Linked DNA regions of Mus musculus: regions 2 and 3 are each reported to be linked to region 1. The links are microRNA targets in miRTarBase. Many come from high-throughput screens and were not tested one by one. Region 1 holds a microRNA gene; each other region holds the end of a gene's coding sequence.
The links. Region 1 holds the annotated microRNA mmu-miR-3085-3p (UCUGGCUGCUAUGGCCCCCUC, at 1,932-1,952, shown strand). A microRNA usually pairs through its seed, bases 2 to 8, with sites in the 3' UTR of a target mRNA and lowers its output. Matches are read on the target gene's strand: a 7mer-m8 pairs with bases 2 to 8, a 7mer-A1 pairs with bases 2 to 7 and ends in A, and an 8mer does both.

Region 2: the mRNA of Dcp2 is a reported target of mmu-miR-3085-3p. The part of its 3' UTR that is shown has no 7-base or 8-base seed match.
Region 3: miRTarBase lists Ift46 as a target of mmu-miR-3085-3p. Seed matches in the 3' UTR shown: 7mer-m8 at 1,305-1,311 and 7mer-m8 at 1,157-1,163.

Annotation. Positions count from the first base shown.
Region 1 is chr19:42,278,871-42,282,046 of GRCm38, reverse strand. It overlaps Mir3085 (microRNA 3085), which reads left to right and starts at 1,877; the gene lies at 1,877-1,965. Gm34347 (a long non-coding RNA gene) reads right to left here. Exons shown (of 3, transcript XR_386718.4): 1 at 2,124-3,176.
Region 2 is chr18:44,417,200-44,420,199 of GRCm38, reverse strand. Dcp2 (decapping mRNA 2) reads right to left here. Exons shown (of 11, transcript NM_027490.1): 11 at 1-2,634. The coding sequence ends at 2,471. Among named protein-coding and RNA genes, the nearest start is that of Dcp2, 38 kb to the right of the region's middle.
Region 3 is chr9:44,790,289-44,793,288 of GRCm38, reverse strand. It overlaps Ift46 (intraflagellar transport 46), which reads right to left. Exons shown (of 12, transcript NM_023831.3): 12 at 575-2,804. The coding sequence ends at 2,709. Among named protein-coding and RNA genes, the nearest start is that of Tmem25, 7.5 kb to the left of the region's middle.

The DNA.
Region 1 (3,176 bases):
TTCCTGCCATCATGTTAAGGGTGAGCGGCTGTACACTTGCTGCTCAGACCTTTCCCCGTTCACCCCGGAAGCCCTTGCCTTTTCAGACCTGAACAAGTGGATCTGAGATAGTAAGACAAGGAAGACCCAGAGCCCACGGGGACTGGTCGCAAATGCAGCGCAGAGCAGTAGGAAATGACAAGATAGCGAGCTCCATTGACTGGCCACACATGTCAGCATGAGAAATGGGAGTAGGAAAAAATAAAAATAAAAACCAGCGAGACAGCCTGCCAAGGACACCAAGTGTGACGGCCAACTCCAGAGGATGCCTGATCCCTCCCCCCCCCCCACCCCCGGTTGAGTTTCAGGCCACGGGGTCTGGCAGTGCCATTTCATCCTATCTGGTGGGAATGTCAGGGGAGTCAAAGAAAGAAGTTCAAGGCTCCCTAACTGCTGAGAGCAAACTCAGGGTAAGAAGGCTTTCCGTGGCGTTCATTCATTCAACAGCTATTGGCTGAGCCCCTGTTCTGCAACAGGGCCTGGGTAGGGCTCTAGGTTTGTAACAGTGAGTAAAGATAACATGTTTGATACCCCACACGCACACCACCTTCCCTCCAGCTGGATGGAAAAAGCCAAGTATAGTGTGGGAGGGGACTATAAGGGGCTTTCTTAAAAGTCTAGCTAGGTTCTCAGGTTACTGCGCCTGAGAAGCAAACACTATGCATTCATTTATCCGTGTGTCCATTCAGCAAGTGTTGATTAAGGACCTCGTGGGTTTCTCATGAAGAAGGTAACCAGCTCCCCTCAGTGAGAAGGTTAAGTCTCCTACACCCAAGAAGCTTATATTGGAGGAAAAAAATACCAGGTTAAACTTTATGGAAGATGGGCAGACTCTGAACCAACCCAACATCACCTGCCCGCCACTCACCAGGCATCCAGATATTGGAGCTGGGTGCCCCTGGCTCCAGACCTTCATTTCACTTCCTGAGCGTTATCAGCCACGGGTGAGTGGGTGCAAGCTTCAGCAAGGCTTAGGAGGCCACTGTCCCCATCCCCTTAACTCCTCCACTTCCTCATCCTGAGGCTCATGGCCTCTGAGCCCTCGTTGTCCACTTTGGAGCACACACACCCATCTTTCTTCTGTCCCATAGACCCACTTAGGTCCCTGACATCTTTTTTTTAGGTTATGCTCCAAGTTGTAAAAAGTAAAAAAAAAAAAAAAAAATGGAAAAGCCACCTTCAGGGCAGGTGAATAACACATGATCAACTCTAGCCAAGGCAGAAGTGGGATCCTTCCCATCCTTCGTTCCATTTTTCAAGAATACCCCCTCAAAACGATCTTTAACAATTTTAATAGTAATAATAACTACAACAATAATATCGCTTTTACTCTGTCTGATGCAGTCTCCTCCAGGAATGTTCCCCCTCAGAATGACAATAATGGCTTTCAGTGAGTGAGCTCAGCGTGTCTAGGTTGGACATAAACTCTTTACAAGAACCAACTCGCTTAATCCCTGCAGCAATCCCTAGAGGAAGAGGCTATAATTATAGGGGTGGGTTAAGTGGTTCCTCGGGATCACACAGCTGGGATAAGCAAAGGTGGGGTGGCGTCCCAGACAGTCTGGCTGTCTCCCACTAGCATGCTTACCTGCCCTGCCGTGCCTACCCACTTCATTCAGGTAGCCAACTGGTTTGGGCAGAAGCCACAGTCTCTCATCCTTCTCCAAGTCAAGGGCTAAGTGGGAAGGGAGAAACAGAGTTCCCAGAGAGCTGAGAATTGAAGCAATCCTACCAGAGTCACACCAAAGCCTGCAGGAAGAGCAGGCCACACCCACATGGAGAGCGCCCTCACCAGGCCAGCCTGGTCACTTTCTCCAGGTCACCTCCATCACCAACAGTCCCAACTCTGGGAAGGTGCCATTCCGAGGGCCAAGAGTCTGAATATGAGTCACTCTGGCTGCTATGGCCCCCTCCCAGGGCTTGGGCATCACATCCCTACCAAGAAGGCTGGACCAAGCAAGAACTCCAACACAGCCTCTGTTAGAGGAACATGGAGACAGAGAACATTTCATCATTTCATCATCTCAGGGTTCCAGAGATTCCAGACTCCAACTTCAGGAGGACAGTCAAATCCCTCCCCTTACCTCTCTGCCCATGGTCACCGCTGTCTCATTCCTTTTGTAAGCTCAGTAGCCAAGCCACAGGGAGTCAGAAACCTGCCAAGGGCTGAGGTTGTGTTTCCTTGGCAACAGGAACATCCTGGAAGGAGGAAGAAGGAGGCAGGCAGCTAGGGCTAGTTAACAGGACAGATAATCCCACTGTCCTCTGCCCTCAGCAGCTCTGCCCTCTTACACAGCACTGTGGAACAGTGGTTCAGTCAGAGGGTAGACCATCAGAGGAGAAATGAGAAGCAAGAAGACACAAGAGCATCCTCGGGGAGAAGTTAACATTTACGGAATGCCCACTATATGCCAAAAACTGCATAGATGTCTGCATTAATCCTTACTCCATCCTGAAAGGCAAATGTTACTGGTCTACTCTATTACCAAGGAAACTGAGGCTTGGGAAGAACAAGCTACACAGGGTCAGAGTTCACTGAAGTGGCTGACGATGTAATTTAGACCCCAAACTGTCTACTCTGCAGCTTGGGTTCCTAAGCTGTGTGCTTTCAGTTTCCAGGTAATTTGCACCTGAGGGAGTTATGTAACCAACTGGTCACTGATAATCAAATACAGACCACTATGTGCTGCACATTATTCTAGTGGCTTTGGATATTTATCGGTGAACAACACTGGCAACATCTCTTCCATGTTGACATTTGGCAAGGCATGCTCGTATAAACATGACGGTAAAAGTCTTGTGTGTTAGAAAATCCTGAGTGGGGGAAGAGGGGAGACATTAAGGGAGTTTGTGAGCACCTGGGTAGAGGCAAACTGTTACTTTAGGTAGGGTGGGCCAGAGTGCTCAGCCCCTAGAGGAAAAAAAAAAGATATTTAAGATTTAAAGTATTTAAGATTTAAAGTAGGTAAAATATACTTGAATCTCAGTTTCTCGTCTCTAAAATGAGTATGAAGCTTACATTTATTAAACTTGAGTTTTAGCAGTAACGGATACCTCACAGTTATTGTATTAAACTTGCCACAGTGTCTGGCATGGAGTGCACCTCCTATAAATCAGAGATCTCATTATTAATAAAT
Region 2 (3,000 bases), not on the chromosome of region 1:
CAAAGTTATTAAACATTCTTCCAACCACTTAAGTTACACATAAAAGCACCTACAAACTTAGACTTAAAAAGATTCACAGTGCACTGCACCTCGGAACACATGCAGTTGGATCCTAAGGATGTTTAAAAGCGATTTTAAAGTCTCACCTCTCAAACACAAATAATAATAAGGCCGACGTATCTACTGTTCCCTCTAGAGTCTGTCTCTAAATGCGGCACTACACAGAAGCACATTACTGCATATTCAGAGTCCTCATCACTAGATCCTATGAAGAAACGCTAACATAGCTCAGAGAAGAAATCCCGTCCTGTGCTAAATATGGTCTCCCAGCTAAACTGTACAGTGAAGAAGTGTGTACGCTGGACTTACATTAACAAGAACACCAACTTAACATTTTCTGCATAGTTGAGTCACATCACACATACAAACCTTACTCTCTCAACATTTCAGCCTGTTGAGAGACCTAAAGCCTAAAGTTATTGTAAATGCACCCCAACCATGCCCTTGCTTTGTTCCACAGTGCATTAAATGAAGCAGCACATCACTGGTTGGTTCTTACAGTCAACCACTTTAAGGGCCATGGACCTTGTGCTAGCTAGTTGATTTTGCTCTAGTATGGAGAGCTGAGAATCCAACCTCTACAGGCACCAGGGACTGACTGAAGTGCTCACTTAAGAAGAATATCTCTCTCTCTCTCTCTCTCTCTCTCTCTCTCTCTCTCTCTCACACACACACACACACAATGGTTTCTTGGTGACAGTCAGGGAGTGACAGTGGCTCACTGCCAGGCAAGCTTCAGTTTTCACTCCCTTAACCATTTAACAGAAATCTGGAATGCTGGGACCAATTATAAATATGGCTCAAGAAGACCCAAGCAAAGCAGCTGTATTTCTGACAAGAACAGTAAGGGCTTCCAAACACAATCATATAATGCATTAAAAAGCAAAGGTCACAGAAGGATTCACAAAGTAGTCGCATAGAAGATTCCAAACATACTGTATCACTGTGAAGTCTCCTGCTTAGCACCGAGTGACACTTTCATGAATAAATATAATTTCTTCTTTAAAATCAGTCATTTAAAAGCTAAAGCAAAGTAGTAATACCAAGTGAATTCCTTACAATAATAGCCCTTCCTTTTAAGTCCCATGGGGTTAGGCAGAACCCCCAGTTAAATAGGCTACATATACAGCATAGAGATTTCTATAGTACTATTTATAAGCAGAGATATACTTTGTGGATACCACTTGTTAAAACCGCACACGACAGACGCACGTGTACACATGCACTCTAACAGCACAGTCCACCCCAGAAGAGATTCTCAGCGAGGTCAGGGGCAGCCAACATCATATTGCCTCCTTAAAGCTCTGGTGATTGTCCTCAACAACAGGCGATCTCTGCAAAGTGGGCACTGTCACCCGTGTTTGGTTTAAGAATTCTGAAGGAGCAAAATACAAAATACATTCCTACGTGTGATCTAAGTACATTACTTCAAGGGTCGGTCCCCTAGTGACATGCTGGACTTACTGGTAAACTGCAGATCCCCTTCTTTCTCACGTTGTAACTCAGGGGCTTCAAGATATTAATGAAAAGCATGTCAGTCTAGTATTACTGCAAACTGGAACCTAACATAATACCAGCTTACACAGATCAACGTTGAGATGCAATATAGAACTAAGAATGAAGTTTTCCACACAGACTCACAACTAGAATACGCATAGACGTTTCACACAGGCATAATCACGACACAATACTGAACGGACGGAGGCAGGAGAGTCAAGGCATGACCTGGAGTAACTGTCAGCTATTGCTTCCATGCTCTCTGCTCCAGCACTCACAGGTTTTTGACAGCAAACATCAGAGCTCAATATCCACAGCATCAGCTCCCCACTGACTCCATCTCTCTCCAGGCTGTGGATGTGGTCCTGATGAAGTGCTCGAGGTTCACTGTGCAGCTCCAGTTGGAAGGTTAGACTCTCAGTGGTTAGAGGCAGAGATGAGTAAACGCCTGCATCCTCACCTCACGGTTCAGCTCTGATGCCCAGTACATTGGTAACTGGGGTTTTAAGTTCCTTTAAGTTTTCAATAAGCAAGCTTTTTGCAATCACTAAGATGGGGAGGTGAAACACTCCTATTGACATGGCTACTTGCTGATGATGCAATCAAAACAACTCTTGATGAGAATATAAAACAAAACACAGTCACACAAAAATAAGGGAGAGACAAAAAAAAACACAGGCAACTAAAACTTGGTTCCAAACACTGAAATGGTAAATCCATATAAAAAGTTCTAAATGCATTTACAGTGCAAACTTGTGTTTCTTTCTAGTTTCTCGTCTGTACAGAACATCTCTTTAGAAACATGGCCTCCCTGCACTTCTTTCAGATACCTGAGAAAGGTAAGGCTTGAGGAGACAGCCACTCACACGCAACAGGTCTCAGATCGAGGGACTTCTGCAATACTCTTGCTGGCTCAAAGGTCCAAGATTTTCATTATAGCATTTTGGTCAAACTTGAAACTCAGAAAGGCTCTGGATGAAAATGGGAACTTGCAATGTCCGTTGCATGCCACAGAATGTCCCTCAGCATGTTCTACCGACGGCTCTTCACCAGAACAAGGCAGGTCACATGTGGCATCTGCTTAGGAAACAGAATTAGTAGACAATAACTCAGAAAGTTAACCAGAAATTGCCTTTCACGCACTCACATGTTTAAGTTAAGTCTTCCTGACTCGATCCTAAACACCTCACTTTAGGATTCAGTGGAATCGGTTACTGCTTATTTCTACTTATTTCTATTAATTCAGATATTTAGCCTACCTTTTAAGACCCCTGCTTTCGAAATGGGCATGTTTTTAGCACCTATATTTGTATTTTGTGCAACAGTAACCAAAGCTCCTTGGCAGAGGTTATTATAAAAATTACAATTTAAAAAAACTGTAAAGATTAGAAGTATAGGAAAATACAGTTGAAGTTATCAAATTTTAGTAGATTAAAACAGAAA
Region 3 (3,000 bases), not on the chromosome of region 1:
ATTAAATGTTTTCGATCACACAGCAGGCACCTGAGTACCCGCCGGGAGCAGCAGTTCAGTATCTGTTAGTCTAATGTGGACTAGTAGTGACCATAAGAGCGGTAGCTACAGCGGTCTGTTCCCTGGAGCCCTGACGGAGCATCTGAGCGATCACTGCACACTTCCACTCCCCATAAGGCAAACTCTAACGCTAATGGTGAGAAAGCAGAGAGCCTGGCCTAGTGTCAGAATGAGGCAGCAACACAGCCCCAAGCCTGACGTGATCACAGCTGGTTTGAGTTTGTAAGGCTCATGAACAGTCTGTGTGTGTGTTGGTCAGGCTGACAGTGGAGCCTTCCCTGCAATCCATTGTGACACCACTTTCTCCCTGTCAGTACATGGCTCGGTTACCCATTCAGTTGCTTAAGCCTAAAATATCTCAGCGTCATCCTTGGTTCTCTTAGCGGGTCTCTCACAGAGGAGGGAATACTGAAGGACCAAACACAGGCCTTGCTGGGTGTCCCCCAGCCCCACCCCACCCCACCCTCTGCCCCCAGCATCTTAGCAATCTTTGGGTCTTTGGATCACAGTCTTTGGGTCTGGTTTTATTTCTACGTATTTGTCCTGGAGTCAATCAAGCCTGTGCAATGAGGTCCCCATAAAAATTCCAAGGGTGGGGCTGAGAGCTTCCACGTGGACAAAGGAAAATTCCTCATTCTTGTGCTGCTGGGTTCTGATTCCTGGTCTGCATTTTTGTCTGTCATGGGAGGTGAGGAGGTGAGAGGAAGCAACCACTTTGCTCAAAGTCCCTGCAGTGGTAGGTGAGGCTCTGCAACCCTCCTCTGCCCTCAGCATCATCTGGCCACAGCCACCTCCTAGATACCAACCTTTAAACTACCATGCACCACTGTGTGTGTGCCCGCATGTGTATGTGTGTGTGCATGCTCATGCAAGTGCACGTGGCTTACAGAACACAAGTTTTAGTAGTTTTCTCCTTCCACCATGTGAGTCCCAGGGATTGAACTCAGGTGGCCAAGCTTTGTGACAAGCACCTTTACCTGCTGTGCCATCTTGTCAGTTCCTTCCCCATACTTTTGTCACCAAATTGTTGTGTTAAATGTCCTTTGTTAAAAACATCCAGAATGGGGCAGGAGAGATGGCTCAGCAGTTCAGAGCACTGGCTGCTCTTCCAGAGGTCCTGAGTTCAATTCCCAGCAACCACATAGTGGCTCACAACCATCTGCAATGGGATCCGATGCTCTCTTCTGGTGTGTCTGAAGACAGCGACAAAAACCCAACAAAACTCTAGAACGGTTTCAGGTTTCCTGGCTGGGAACCAGTTGATACCACTCCAAATTGCTCCTGAATCTCTCCTCCACTTCCACCCCGCTTAAGCAGCTCCTCCAAACACTGCCACAGCCGTGCTCCCTGGAGCCACACGCTCTTGCCTGTGCCTCTCAACCACCAGTGGTTAGTCAGGCGTCCCCACAACCCGCTCCTCGGAGTTCAACATATTGCAGAACCTAGAGAAACACTTTTCTCAATTTTTCATGAAAGATGGTCAAAGGATGCAGGTGAAGGGGTGAACAGTGGGCACGGTGGCTCAGGCCTGTAATCCTAGTACCCAGAAGCAAAAGGTGATAATGAACTCGTAACGCCTGAGCTTCATAGTGAACTGTAGACCACTCTCGGCTGTACAGAGAACCAGTCTAAAACAAATACAATTATTTTAAAATTCACAAAGATGTGTAAGATGCATGCCACCTTTTGGGAACCTCCCTGTATCTGACTGTCTGAAAACTCTCCAAGGCCTGACCTTTTGAGTTTCCATGGAGACATCACACGAAGGAACAGCTGAAACCTGGACCACTATGCTGGCATGTGACTGGGCAAAAATGGTCTGATCTAATGCTGTGGTTTGGGTGGGATGCCAAGTGAGGTCTGGAAATTACTCAGTTTGCTTCCTTGCTGGTAAGGGGCAAGTGCCCATCTAAATGAGGGTCTTGGTCTATTATCCAGATAGGTCAACAAATTTAAGAATAAACTGGGTTTGCTGAATATACCTGAAGGCCTGGTACCTGGGAGGTAGAGGTGGAGGCGGGAAGATCAGGCCTTCAAGACCAGCCTGCACAGATAGTTCGAAGCCAAGCTGGGCTACAGGAGATGCTGCCTCACAACACAAACAAAAGTAAAATAAAAGAATGTAAGATTGTAGGAGCAGATGTCCATGATTGCCTTGGGGAAAGATTCGGGGTTGTGGGCTGCTTGGGGAGAAAGGGAGGTGAAAGAAGGGCAGAAGGTCAAATAGAAGGACATGATTCTCAGAGGCACAGGCAGGCCTGCTGTAAGGCCCCAACCCGACCCTACTCACTCTAGAGAGCATCAGGGCAATGGGACACTAATGAGCCAGAAGCCATGGGTGAAAACCAGTATGTATTCCATCACAACCTGACAGAGCAGTCTGTGTGTCTCTGGAAGCTCTGTCCCCAACCTGTGTCCTGGGGCTCTCAGAGTCCCAGTTCTTCCAACTCAGAGGCCCACAGCAGAGTGGCTACATCCTTCCTCTGGAATGGCAACGGGAGGCAGGTGTAAACAAGGTGTGCCCTGCCCTCGAGGACAAGGCAGCAGGGTTCATGTTGACAGAGCCCAGCTGTGGAGCAGGGAGACATTAAGCTGCCAACAGAGACCACATCTTCATCTAACTTTGAAGCACAGTCCCAGGAGGAGGCTCAGATGAAAGTCAGTGTCTCCGCATCCCCAGCCTGGGAGGCAGAGTTGGGTGGAGGGGTGAATACTTTTTTGCCTTCAGCAAGAGCTTTAAAATGCTGCAAGAAAGGAGAGGACATGTTTGCAATATGCTGGCTGCTGCATTTTAACAAAGAAAACCACTTTAAAATCCCTTTAAGTTAAACTGAGTGTGCTGGCACAGGCCTGTCACTCCACAGTTGGGAGACTGAGGCAGGAGGATCACTGTGAATCTAAAGCTAGGCTGGGCTACACTATGAGTTCCAAGTCAACTTG